2 linked regions of the Macaca mulatta genome follow. The protein of the gene in region 1 purifies or fractionates together with the protein of each later gene. This does not show direct contact. Links are inferred from orthologs where the notes say so. Each region holds a gene or a part of one and is shown in the gene's direction. Other genes may lie near its edges.

Region 1 (4,836 bases):
ATAGGAAAGGAACCCCAGTGCTTTGGCTTCCTAGCTTCTGAGAGGAGACTCTGTGGCCTCTACTTCATGTTTCCTGTACTGAGAACAATTAATAGAACCATGGACTGGGCGAGGTGGCTCACACCTAGAATTCCAGTGCTTTGGGAAGCCATGGTGGGAGGATCGCTTGAAGCCAGGATTTCAGGACCAGTGTGGGCAACAAAGTGAGACCCTGTCTCTACAAAACAAAACAAAACAAAAAGCCATGCACCTGTAGTCCTAGTACTCAGGAGGCTGAGGTGGGAAGATGGCTTGAGCCCAGGAGTTCTAGACTACAGTGAGCTATGATGGCACCACTGCACTCTAACCTGGCCAAGAGTGTGAGACCCTCTCTCTAAAAAAAAAAAAAAAAAAAAGAACCATAAGCTGAAGTGCCCTTTGCTTTCATTTTGGAGCTCATACCTATTTCCCTGAGTCACAGGTTCTCAATGTAACCATCTATGGATTTGTATGCAAAAATATTCTTGTCTGTATTTTCCTGAGAATATTTACAGTTTTCAAAGATCCCCCCAAAGGGCCAATAGCCCCAACAAAGAAAAGGAAAAACTAAAAACCAGTGCTTTAAGAGAAAAAACGCATCCTATTGAAATGGCCAAAGCTCTGGCATATTTGTACCAACAGAGGGAGCTAATATTTAGCCCACTGAAACCATTCCTGTTCTGTCCTGTCCTGCCTTACACTCAGTTACACAAGGCACAGAGTTACCCTTCCTAAAAAGAAGATACTATTGGTCACAATCAGCCCGCTCTTCTACCCGTGGCTTGGTAGAAAGAGTAGGTGACAGCTTCTGGCCAGGGGTGTGTTACTGTGCTCAGTATTTCTCCTTTCCTGAGTCAGGATAAATAATTAGGAATGAACTTCAGAGCCAGTGACCCAATCTCCCAATGGCACTCTGTCTCTCCCTGACTGACAAGAGGCTCAGTCAGCCTCTTGTTCTGAGGGTTCCTCAGAACCCTCCCAAGACCAGCACCCAGTTGGGCCACTTACCTGACCCCCTTGCTCGAGGAGTGACAGGCCCTGTTGGATTTCTCTTCCAGGTCTTTCAGTTTGCAGTCAAAGAATCACTTATCCTGAAGCTGCCAACAGATGAGCTCATGAACCCCTCACAGAAGAAGAAAAGAAAGCACAGGCAAGGGTTGGACAAAGTGTTTTGTTTTACAGCCAGGCTGTTCCCTGTGCTCTGACCTCCCCTTGGAGTTCCCATCTGCCTCCCTCTTTAGCAACCACACAGGCTGTGTAAGCCCATCAGCTTGGCATCACATGACTGAGAGCCAGCCTCCTGAGTGCTCCCCAAGGGTCTGTGCCTTGGATCAGCCCTCTGCTTGTCCCCAGGTGCTGTGGACCATGACATAACTGGCTGTTTTTCTGTTTAAGCTCCTGGCCAATAGGACATGAGCTGGCTTCATGGCTCCACTCCGAAGCCATTTCTCCTTGTTGGTTTAGTTACCACCTTACCCATTTCTCAACTCTGACCAGAGTTTATTTATTTGTTTGGTTCGTGTTGTTTTTCTGAGTTACATAATAACACTGTCTTCTAGCTAGCCTTTACTTAGGTTAGAAGTTTTTTTTTAAAAATTGTGTACCCTGGCTCTGTTCCCTAATGACTATCACCTATCAGAGGAAGGAGCTGACACCACTTCTAGATACAGAAGGAAATCCCTGTGACTCCTCCCTTTCAGTTCTTTGGGAGAAGATTCCTGAAAGGCCTTCCCACCTCCCCATCTTGAAACTCCCCCATATCTCCACCTCCACAAAGACAAAGGGAGAGATGGGGAGACAAACAATAGCTTTATAATAGACCGATAGGCTTGGGCTTTCTTTTGTTTCTGTGTTGTGTTCTTTTATGTTATTTGGTCGTTTGGGAGGGGTGTGTTTAAGTTTAAATCTTGTAGCACAGGCCAGCTGGATTTAGGCTGGACTCTTGCTTCTGTGTACCAAAGTCGTCTTGTTGAGGGGTTTGGGAAGATACTCCCCAGTCATCAAACACAGTCCCTCAGAGCAAGTCACGTTGTCATTTACCTGCATTTACAGAGCTCCCTAGAGCCGTGACTGAGACTTATTCTTCCTGTCTTTTTCAGATTGTGGGCTGCACACTGCAGGAAGATTCAGCTGAAGAAAGGTAAGTTCTACCAGGGCATTCTTCAGCAGTTCAGTTGGAGGCTTCACCCTATGGTCATCACCCTACCCCACAGCTGCACTTGTTGACCCTGTGCCACTTCCGCAGATTGCAGAATTCTCTGCAGCAACTGAGAACAGCTCAGCCTCTCACTGCAACTGAGAAGACCTCTTAGGAGGTAGCATTAGGGGCCTTGTGATCGGTGATTTTTCTTTTTTTTTGAGATGGAGCCTTGCTGTGTCACCCAGGCTGGAGTGCAGTGGCACAATCTCGGCTCACTGCAACCTCCGCCTCCCAGGTTCAAGCAATTCTCCTGCCTCAGCTTCCCGAGTAGCTGGGATTACAGGCATGTACCACCACTCCCGGCTAATTTTTGTATTTTTAGTAGAGATGGGGTTTCACCATGTTGGCCCGGCTGGTCTCAAACTCCTGACCTCAAATGATCCACCTGCCTTGGCCTCGCAAAGTGCTGGGATTACAGGCATGAGCCACTGTGCCTGGCCAGTCTGTGACTTTTCTAGTGTGCCATTTGCTAGGTTCCAGACCTCATTTAATGTTTAGAATAGCTTCCCTATCACCTGTCAAAGGAAGAAGCTGACACCACTTCTAGATACTTCTCTGTAGCATCTCCACATCCTCCCCACAAAGCAGACCACCCCATTGCAGGTTATGAATAACAGTCATCCCTGTCTTCTCACTTCAGGTGCTAAATGTGTGTCCAAGAAGATTGTTAGGACCAGCCTCCTCTGAATCAGGGCAGCTGGACACTTGGGAGGGAAGATAGCTGGAGCGTACGGTCACAGCAGCGTCTTCCTCTGTTCTCTCTCCTAGATAACTCTTCCACACAAGTGTACAACTACCAACCCTGTGACCACCCAGACCGCCCCTGTGACAGCACCTGCCCCTGCATCATGACTCAGAATTTCTGTGAGAAGTTCTGCCAGTGCAACCCAGACTGTAAGTGTGCTGCGTCTTCCCTATAGTCTACCAAAACAGTCGGCACCAGTGTGCCCTAGGCTTGCCCCATTCCTGTGCCCTTTACTACTTATGAGCCTTCTGATAGTCTCTTTGCTGTGTTTTAGGGATTCTACAAATGAAATAAGTGCATGAGATCTGCAAGAGTCATTTCTGGAAAACGTTTAGGTTCATGATTGTAAAAGCAGAAATCAGATACCTTCCCAACTTTGTCTTCTAGGGGAGAATTAAGAAATGAGGGGGGCCAGCAGGCACAGCCACTCACGCCTGTAATCCCAGCATTTTGGGTGGGCAGATCACCTGAGGTCAGGAGTTCAACACTAGCCTGGCCAACATGGCAAAACCCCATCTCTACTAAAAATAAAAAAAATTAGGCCAGGCGTGGTGGCTCTTGCCTATAATCCCAGCACTTTGGGCGGGCAGATCACTTGAGGTCAGGAGTCAAGACCAGCCTGGCCAACATGGCAAAACCCCATCTCTACTAAAAATACAAAAATTAGCCAGACATGGTGGTGCATGCCTGTAGTCCCAGCTACTTGGGAGGCTGAGGCACAAGAATCGCTTGAACCCAGGGGGCAGAGGCTACAGTGAGCCAAGATTGTGCCACTGCACTCCAGCCTGGGCAACAGGACGAGACTCTGTCTCAAAAAGAAAAGAAATGTGAGATTCTTTTTTTTTTTAAGTTACAGCCCCAGTTTCCCTTTTCTGGATACTGTTTAAATTTTTTTTTAATTCAGATATTTTCTGTTTGTGATTCTGTGTATGTCTATTTTCATTTAATAGCTGGAGTTTTAATATCAGGTAGAAGACGGGGCCTGGATGTCAGCAGAGACATCCGGGTACTTATCTTTCACTTCTTATCCCACTATGCCCTTCCCAACTCAAAGCTGAGCAGTTTGATGGCAGTCCCCAGAGCTTGCAGAACTTGGTGCCCAGGCGGTTTTGCTGGAGGAAATACCTCCTAACCCATAGCAGATAGTGATCTTAGCCGCAGCAGAGAAGTGGTTGTGCTGGGTTGGGCAGTGGGTGGAGAAGGATGGCACAGAACGGATGCATTCTGTTCTCAAAATGATACTTGTTTTGATGGTGACATTTTACCAGTGAAAAGCACTGATTTCATTTTCTCTCTGGGGTACTCTCCACCTCAGCGGGAGGGAGAAGTTTGTTGGGGAAATCTCTAGGGGACACTTATTATTATACCTGCTTTTTTCTTATTATTATACCTGCTTTTTTCTTATTATTATACCTGCTTTTTTTTAAATTTTTTTTATTTTTTATTTTATTTATTTTTTTGTTGTTGTTGTTGAGACGGAGTCTCGCTCTGTCGCCCAGGCTGGAGTGCAGTGGCCGGATCTCAGCTCACTGCAAGCTCCGCCTCCCGGGTTTACGCCATTCTCCTGCCTCAGCCTCCCGTGTAGCTGGGACTACAGGCGCCCGCCACCTCGCCCGGCTAATTTTTTATATTTTTAGTAGAGACGGGGTTTCACCGTGTTAGCCAGGATGGTCTTGATCTCCTGACCTCGTGATCCGCCCGTCTCGGCCTCCCAAAGTGCTAGGATTACAGGCTTGAGCCACCGCGCCCGGCCTTTTTTTATTTTTTTAATTTTTTTGAGACAGGATCTCAGCTCTGTTGCTCAGGATGGAGAGCAGTGGCACAATTATGGCTCACTGCAGCCTCAACCTCCCTGGCTCAAGCAATTCATCCC
Region 2 (4,631 bases), on another chromosome or scaffold:
CCAGCATCTGGTAGTGCCAGACTTGGCATGTCATGTGGCAGCAAAACTCAGATCACTGCCTTTATATGGCTGCCCTCTCTGTGTGTCTGAGTTATCATAGCATTCTCTCTGTGTCTCTGTTTTCTCTTTTTTTTTTTTTTTTTTGAGGCAGAGTCTCACTCTGTTCCCCCGGCTAGAGTACAGTGGTATGATCTCTGCTCACTGCAATCTCCACCTTCTGGGTTCAAGCAATTCTCCTGCCTTGGCCTCCCAAGTAGCTGGGTTTACAGGTGTGCGTCACCATACCCAGCTAATTTTTGTATTTTTAGTAGAGATGGGGTTTCACCATGTTGGCCAGGCTGGTCTCCAACTCCTGACCTCAAGCGATCCACCCGCCTTGGCCTCCCACAGTGATGGGATTACAAACATGAGCCACCGCTCTCGGCCCTGTTTTCTTTTCTTATAAGGATACCACTCATATTGGGTTAAGGGCCTATCCTAATTGACTGTCACCTCATCTTAACTTGATTATATCTGATTCAAGTTAGGAATGCAACATATTGTTTTGGGGAACACAAATCAATATACAGTAAGAGTTATAGATAACAACTGCAGTGTTATGCTAACATTATTATCTGACTTATTTTGGTATTTTGTTTGGTGGTACCATATTGAGAAAAATTTTGGCCCACAGTGATAATTTAAAATGGTAGTTTTGTTTTTTTTTTTAAACATTTAACCATGTCACTTTGCAATCTCCATTTCAATTCCTTCAGTCAAATTGATCCAGAAGTCTGAAAGAACAACATTAGGGAATGTATATACCAGTGTTAAATTACTGACAATATCTTTAAAAACACTCACCTTCCTTACTGGGGAGTATTCACTTTTTAAAAGGAGTTGGTGAATGGATTCCCGGGGAAGCTTAAATCATCATCTATTTGGCCGACGCTGTGTGTTCAAATGTCATAATAGCCTGAGTTATTCAATGGTGACTTTTTTTTTGAGACAGGGTCTCACTCTGTTGCCCAGGCTGGAGTGCAGTGATGTCATCTTGGCTCACTGCAACCTCTGCCTCCCGGGTTCAAGCAATTCTCCTACCTCAGCCTCCCGAATAGCTGGGATTACAGACACACACCACCATGCCCTGCTAATTTTTGTATTTTTGGTAGAGATACGGTTTCACCATGTTGGCCAGGCTGGCCTCAAACTCTTGGCCTCAAGCGATTCACCTGCCTCGGCCTCCCAAAGCGTTGAGATTACAGGCGTGAGCCAGCGGGCCCAGTCTCAATGGTGACTTTTGAAAACATCTTGTTAGTGGCATGTTCTGTCAGACGTTCCCTTGAGATTTCAAAAGAGTAATCATAGTTTTGTATTTTGAGTGTAAACTTGGTTTCAGTTGTGTTGCCGACACATTCCTGCTGTTGTGAGCAGTGATGTGGAAACCATGTACTGCCAAATGAGCCCATCTGCTGAATTAAAAATAGCATCTAGGTACTTCACCTGGTACAGCTACGTTCCAGAGATGTTTACTTACTGGGTTTTTTTTAAAAAAACAAAAATGTTATTTATATTTTTATTTGAAATATCTGTACCAGAACCTTGTCTTGAAACTATTAAAAATTTCAATATTAAAACATACATTCTAGAACTGACCATCCTTATCAGTATAAATAACTCTGAAAGGTGCTCAGTTTATAGGCAATGCCTTAATAAATTTAACAATTATGAAGCTTTACCCAACATCTTTAAAAATGTTGCAGAGACAACTATTCAGCACAAATACAATGACCACGAGCGTATTTCAGCAACTGCTTTATCTGAGCAAGTCTTTTCACTCCACCAGAATAGACTTGGTTACATTTTCAACAAGTTACTCAATGGTATATTAAAACTGAATCTAAACACTTTTTACCCCTCCAGTTGTATTTTAAAAACTTATTTATGCTCATTTGTGTGGCTAAATATAAAAACAAGCAAAATACAGACATCAGCAAATCCACATTTTCATCCAGGTGAAGTGAAATTTAAATTTTATTTTTTGAAAAAATTTAAGTTTTAAAGGAATTCATTAGATACGTATTTTTGTTTTGTTTTGTTTTGTTTTCAGATGGAGTTTCACTCTCGTTGCCTACGCTGGAGTGCAATGGCACAATCTCAGCTCACTCCAACCTCTTCCTTCTGGGTTCAAGCGATTCTCCTGCCTCAGCCTCCCAAGTAGCTGGGATTACTGGTGTGTGCCACAATGCTCGGCTAATTTTGTTTTGTTTTGTTTTGTTTTTTTTGAGATGGAGTTTCGCTTTTGTTGCCCACACTGGAGTACAGTGGCACAATAGCTCACCGCAACCTCCGCCTCCTGGGTTCAAGTGATTCTCCTGCTTCAGTCTCCTGAGTAGCTGGGATAACAGGCATGCACCACCACATCTGGCTAATTTTGTATTTTTCATAGAGACAGGGTTTCTCCATATTGATCAGGCTGGTCTCGAACTCCTGAACTCAGGAGATCCGCCCGCCTCGGCCTCCCAAAGTGCAGGGATTACAGGCATGAGCCACCGCACCTGGCCTGTATTTTTAGTAGAGACGGTTTTTCACCATGTTGGTCAGGCTGGTCTTGAACTCCTGACCTCAAGTGATGCACCCACCTGAGCCTCCCAAAGTGCTGGGATTACAGATGTGAGCCACTGCACCCAGCAGATATTTATTTTGGATGTGTATTTTTGGATTAGATCAGTGATACCAGCCAGTATGATATGGTCTCTCAAGGATATTTGCAGATACATGGGGGCAATTTTGGTTGTCTTAATACCTAAAAGTACAACTGGGGCTTAGTTTTCTAGCACCAAGGATGCTGGGTGACTTGTACTTGTCCCACCTTAAATGCCAACAGAGCTTGGACTTTATCAGAAAATGAGAGTAATTATGTTTTTGTAAATGTCTGTTTATTTAACATAGCCCAGATTTTAATAAGCTTTTTTGATAGAATAAAGAGCTTTCATTTTCACATTTAAATTTTGTTCATATAAAATTTTTGTTGATAACACTGAGTAGTTCAATTAGGCAGGAACATCTGAGTTACTTACTTTTGAGCTTACTGTGTTTTGTTTGAAAATCATGTAATTTGGGGGGACTATGGAACTATTGTGTAAGATTTCACTGCATGAAATACAAGTTGAGCAGTTTTAGTCACACTAAAAATGAAACTGCGTGACAGATCATTCTCATTTACTTTCTTGCCTTCAAAAGATTTTCTGTGAAACTTACAGGCACTTGCTCTCATAGCATATGATTTGTTAGAGTGGTGTGGTTGGCCAGTAATTGAGTAACAATGCCGGATTGCATTTCTCATCAGGAGGTGCAGTCTTGTTTTATTTATCATCATATTTCTTCATTAAGTTTAATTTTCCTTTTCTTTTCTTTTGTTTTTTGAGACAGAGTGTCACTCTTGTTGCCCAGGCTGGAGTGCAATGGCACGATCTTGGCTCACTGAAACTTCTGCCTCCTGAGTTCAAGCGATTCTTCTGCCTCAGCCTCCTGAGTAGCTGGGATTACAGGCATGCGCCACCACGCCTGGCTAATTTTGTATTTTTAGTAGAGACTGGGTTTCTCCATGTTGGTCAGGCTGGTCTCAAACTCCTGACCTCAGGTGATCCACCCGCCTCAGCCTCCCAAAGTGCTGGGATTACAGGCCTGAGCCACCTCGCCCGGCCAAGTTTAATTTTTAAACCAATGATTCATTTCTGCTTTTACAGGTGATTACTTTATCTCACTAGAAAAAAAAATGTAAACATTCAAACAAAAAGTATCTAAAACTTATGATAAGCCTTAATCTTGAATAATTATCGTGACATGTGTTACTTGTGTGCTTATTGCTGTACAGCCTTCCTTGGCTTTCTGACAAGAGCAACTGCTAAGCAGAAGCACTTGAGCCTCATCTGGCATTTGATGAATTTGATTAATGTGTGCTATGGTGAGTCTACTCCCCTGTATAATTTTATGGGAGAGGCCATGTGCAAGTCTGAATTTAAAAAAAAGAAAAAATGGCTCGTGCAGAATTATTACCTACTCAATACATTATATATATGCCAGAGATGGCTAAAGCAGCTATATTTCAAGGTCTGCAAAAACATGAAGAAGCTGGCACGGAAATTAACACGTTGGTAGTCTGCAATGTGTTCAAAGTTGGTGTTTTTAATGACACTTAAAAAATAGCTAAAATATATAATGGCTGATTTCTGACCAGACTAAACTCTCAGCCTGTCTAATGTTAGACAGCTTGATCTAATCAATTTCATCCTTTTCTTTTCCTCAGTCCAATCTTACAATTGCTCTGTCAGTTTCAGTTCACAACAATACCAAGCCCAGACATGGCTCCCTAAGATTTTCTCCTTTTCCCTCACGTGGGTCCCAGTTCTAAATTCCCAAGGGCTGACACAATTGACATTTGCCATCGCCTGAGGAGGGACCACTTCCTTCTGTGGTCTTTCCTTGGTTTGTTTTATTGGGCAGTGAATGGCAAATCTGTCTGTGTTTCTTTGCTTCACCCCAAACACCTTGCAAAAATGAAAGCCTTCTAATTTAGCTGTGTCCTCCTTTACTTATGTCAGGAGGCCTGTGCCACAACCTTTGATTTAAAAAAATTTTTTTTGTTTTTT

The links. The genes of interacting proteins can lie anywhere in the genome.
Region 2: the proteins of EZH1 (region 1) and AEBP2 purify together in Homo sapiens (affinity purification with mass spectrometry; 3 studies listed by BioGRID and IntAct, with this or other methods). This does not show direct contact. The link is inferred for Macaca mulatta from reciprocal best matches to the Homo sapiens genes EZH1 and AEBP2.

What each region holds. Positions count from the first base shown.
Region 1 is NC_133421.1:67,059,225-67,064,060, reverse strand, and holds part of EZH1 (histone-lysine N-methyltransferase EZH1), read left to right. Parts: intron 1-1,076; coding exon 1,077-1,168; coding exon of another isoform or gene 1,169-1,174; intron 1,175-2,117; coding exon 2,118-2,158; intron 2,159-2,986; coding exon 2,987-3,112; intron 3,113-4,836.
Region 2 is NC_133416.1:22,038,626-22,043,256, forward strand, and holds the end of AEBP2 (zinc finger protein AEBP2), read left to right. Parts: intron 1-2,089; coding exon 2,090-2,315; 3' UTR 2,316-3,174; downstream 3,175-4,631. UniProt on the Homo sapiens protein: Acts as an accessory subunit for the core Polycomb repressive complex 2 (PRC2), which mediates histone H3K27 (H3K27me3) trimethylation on chromatin leading to transcriptional repression of the affected target gene.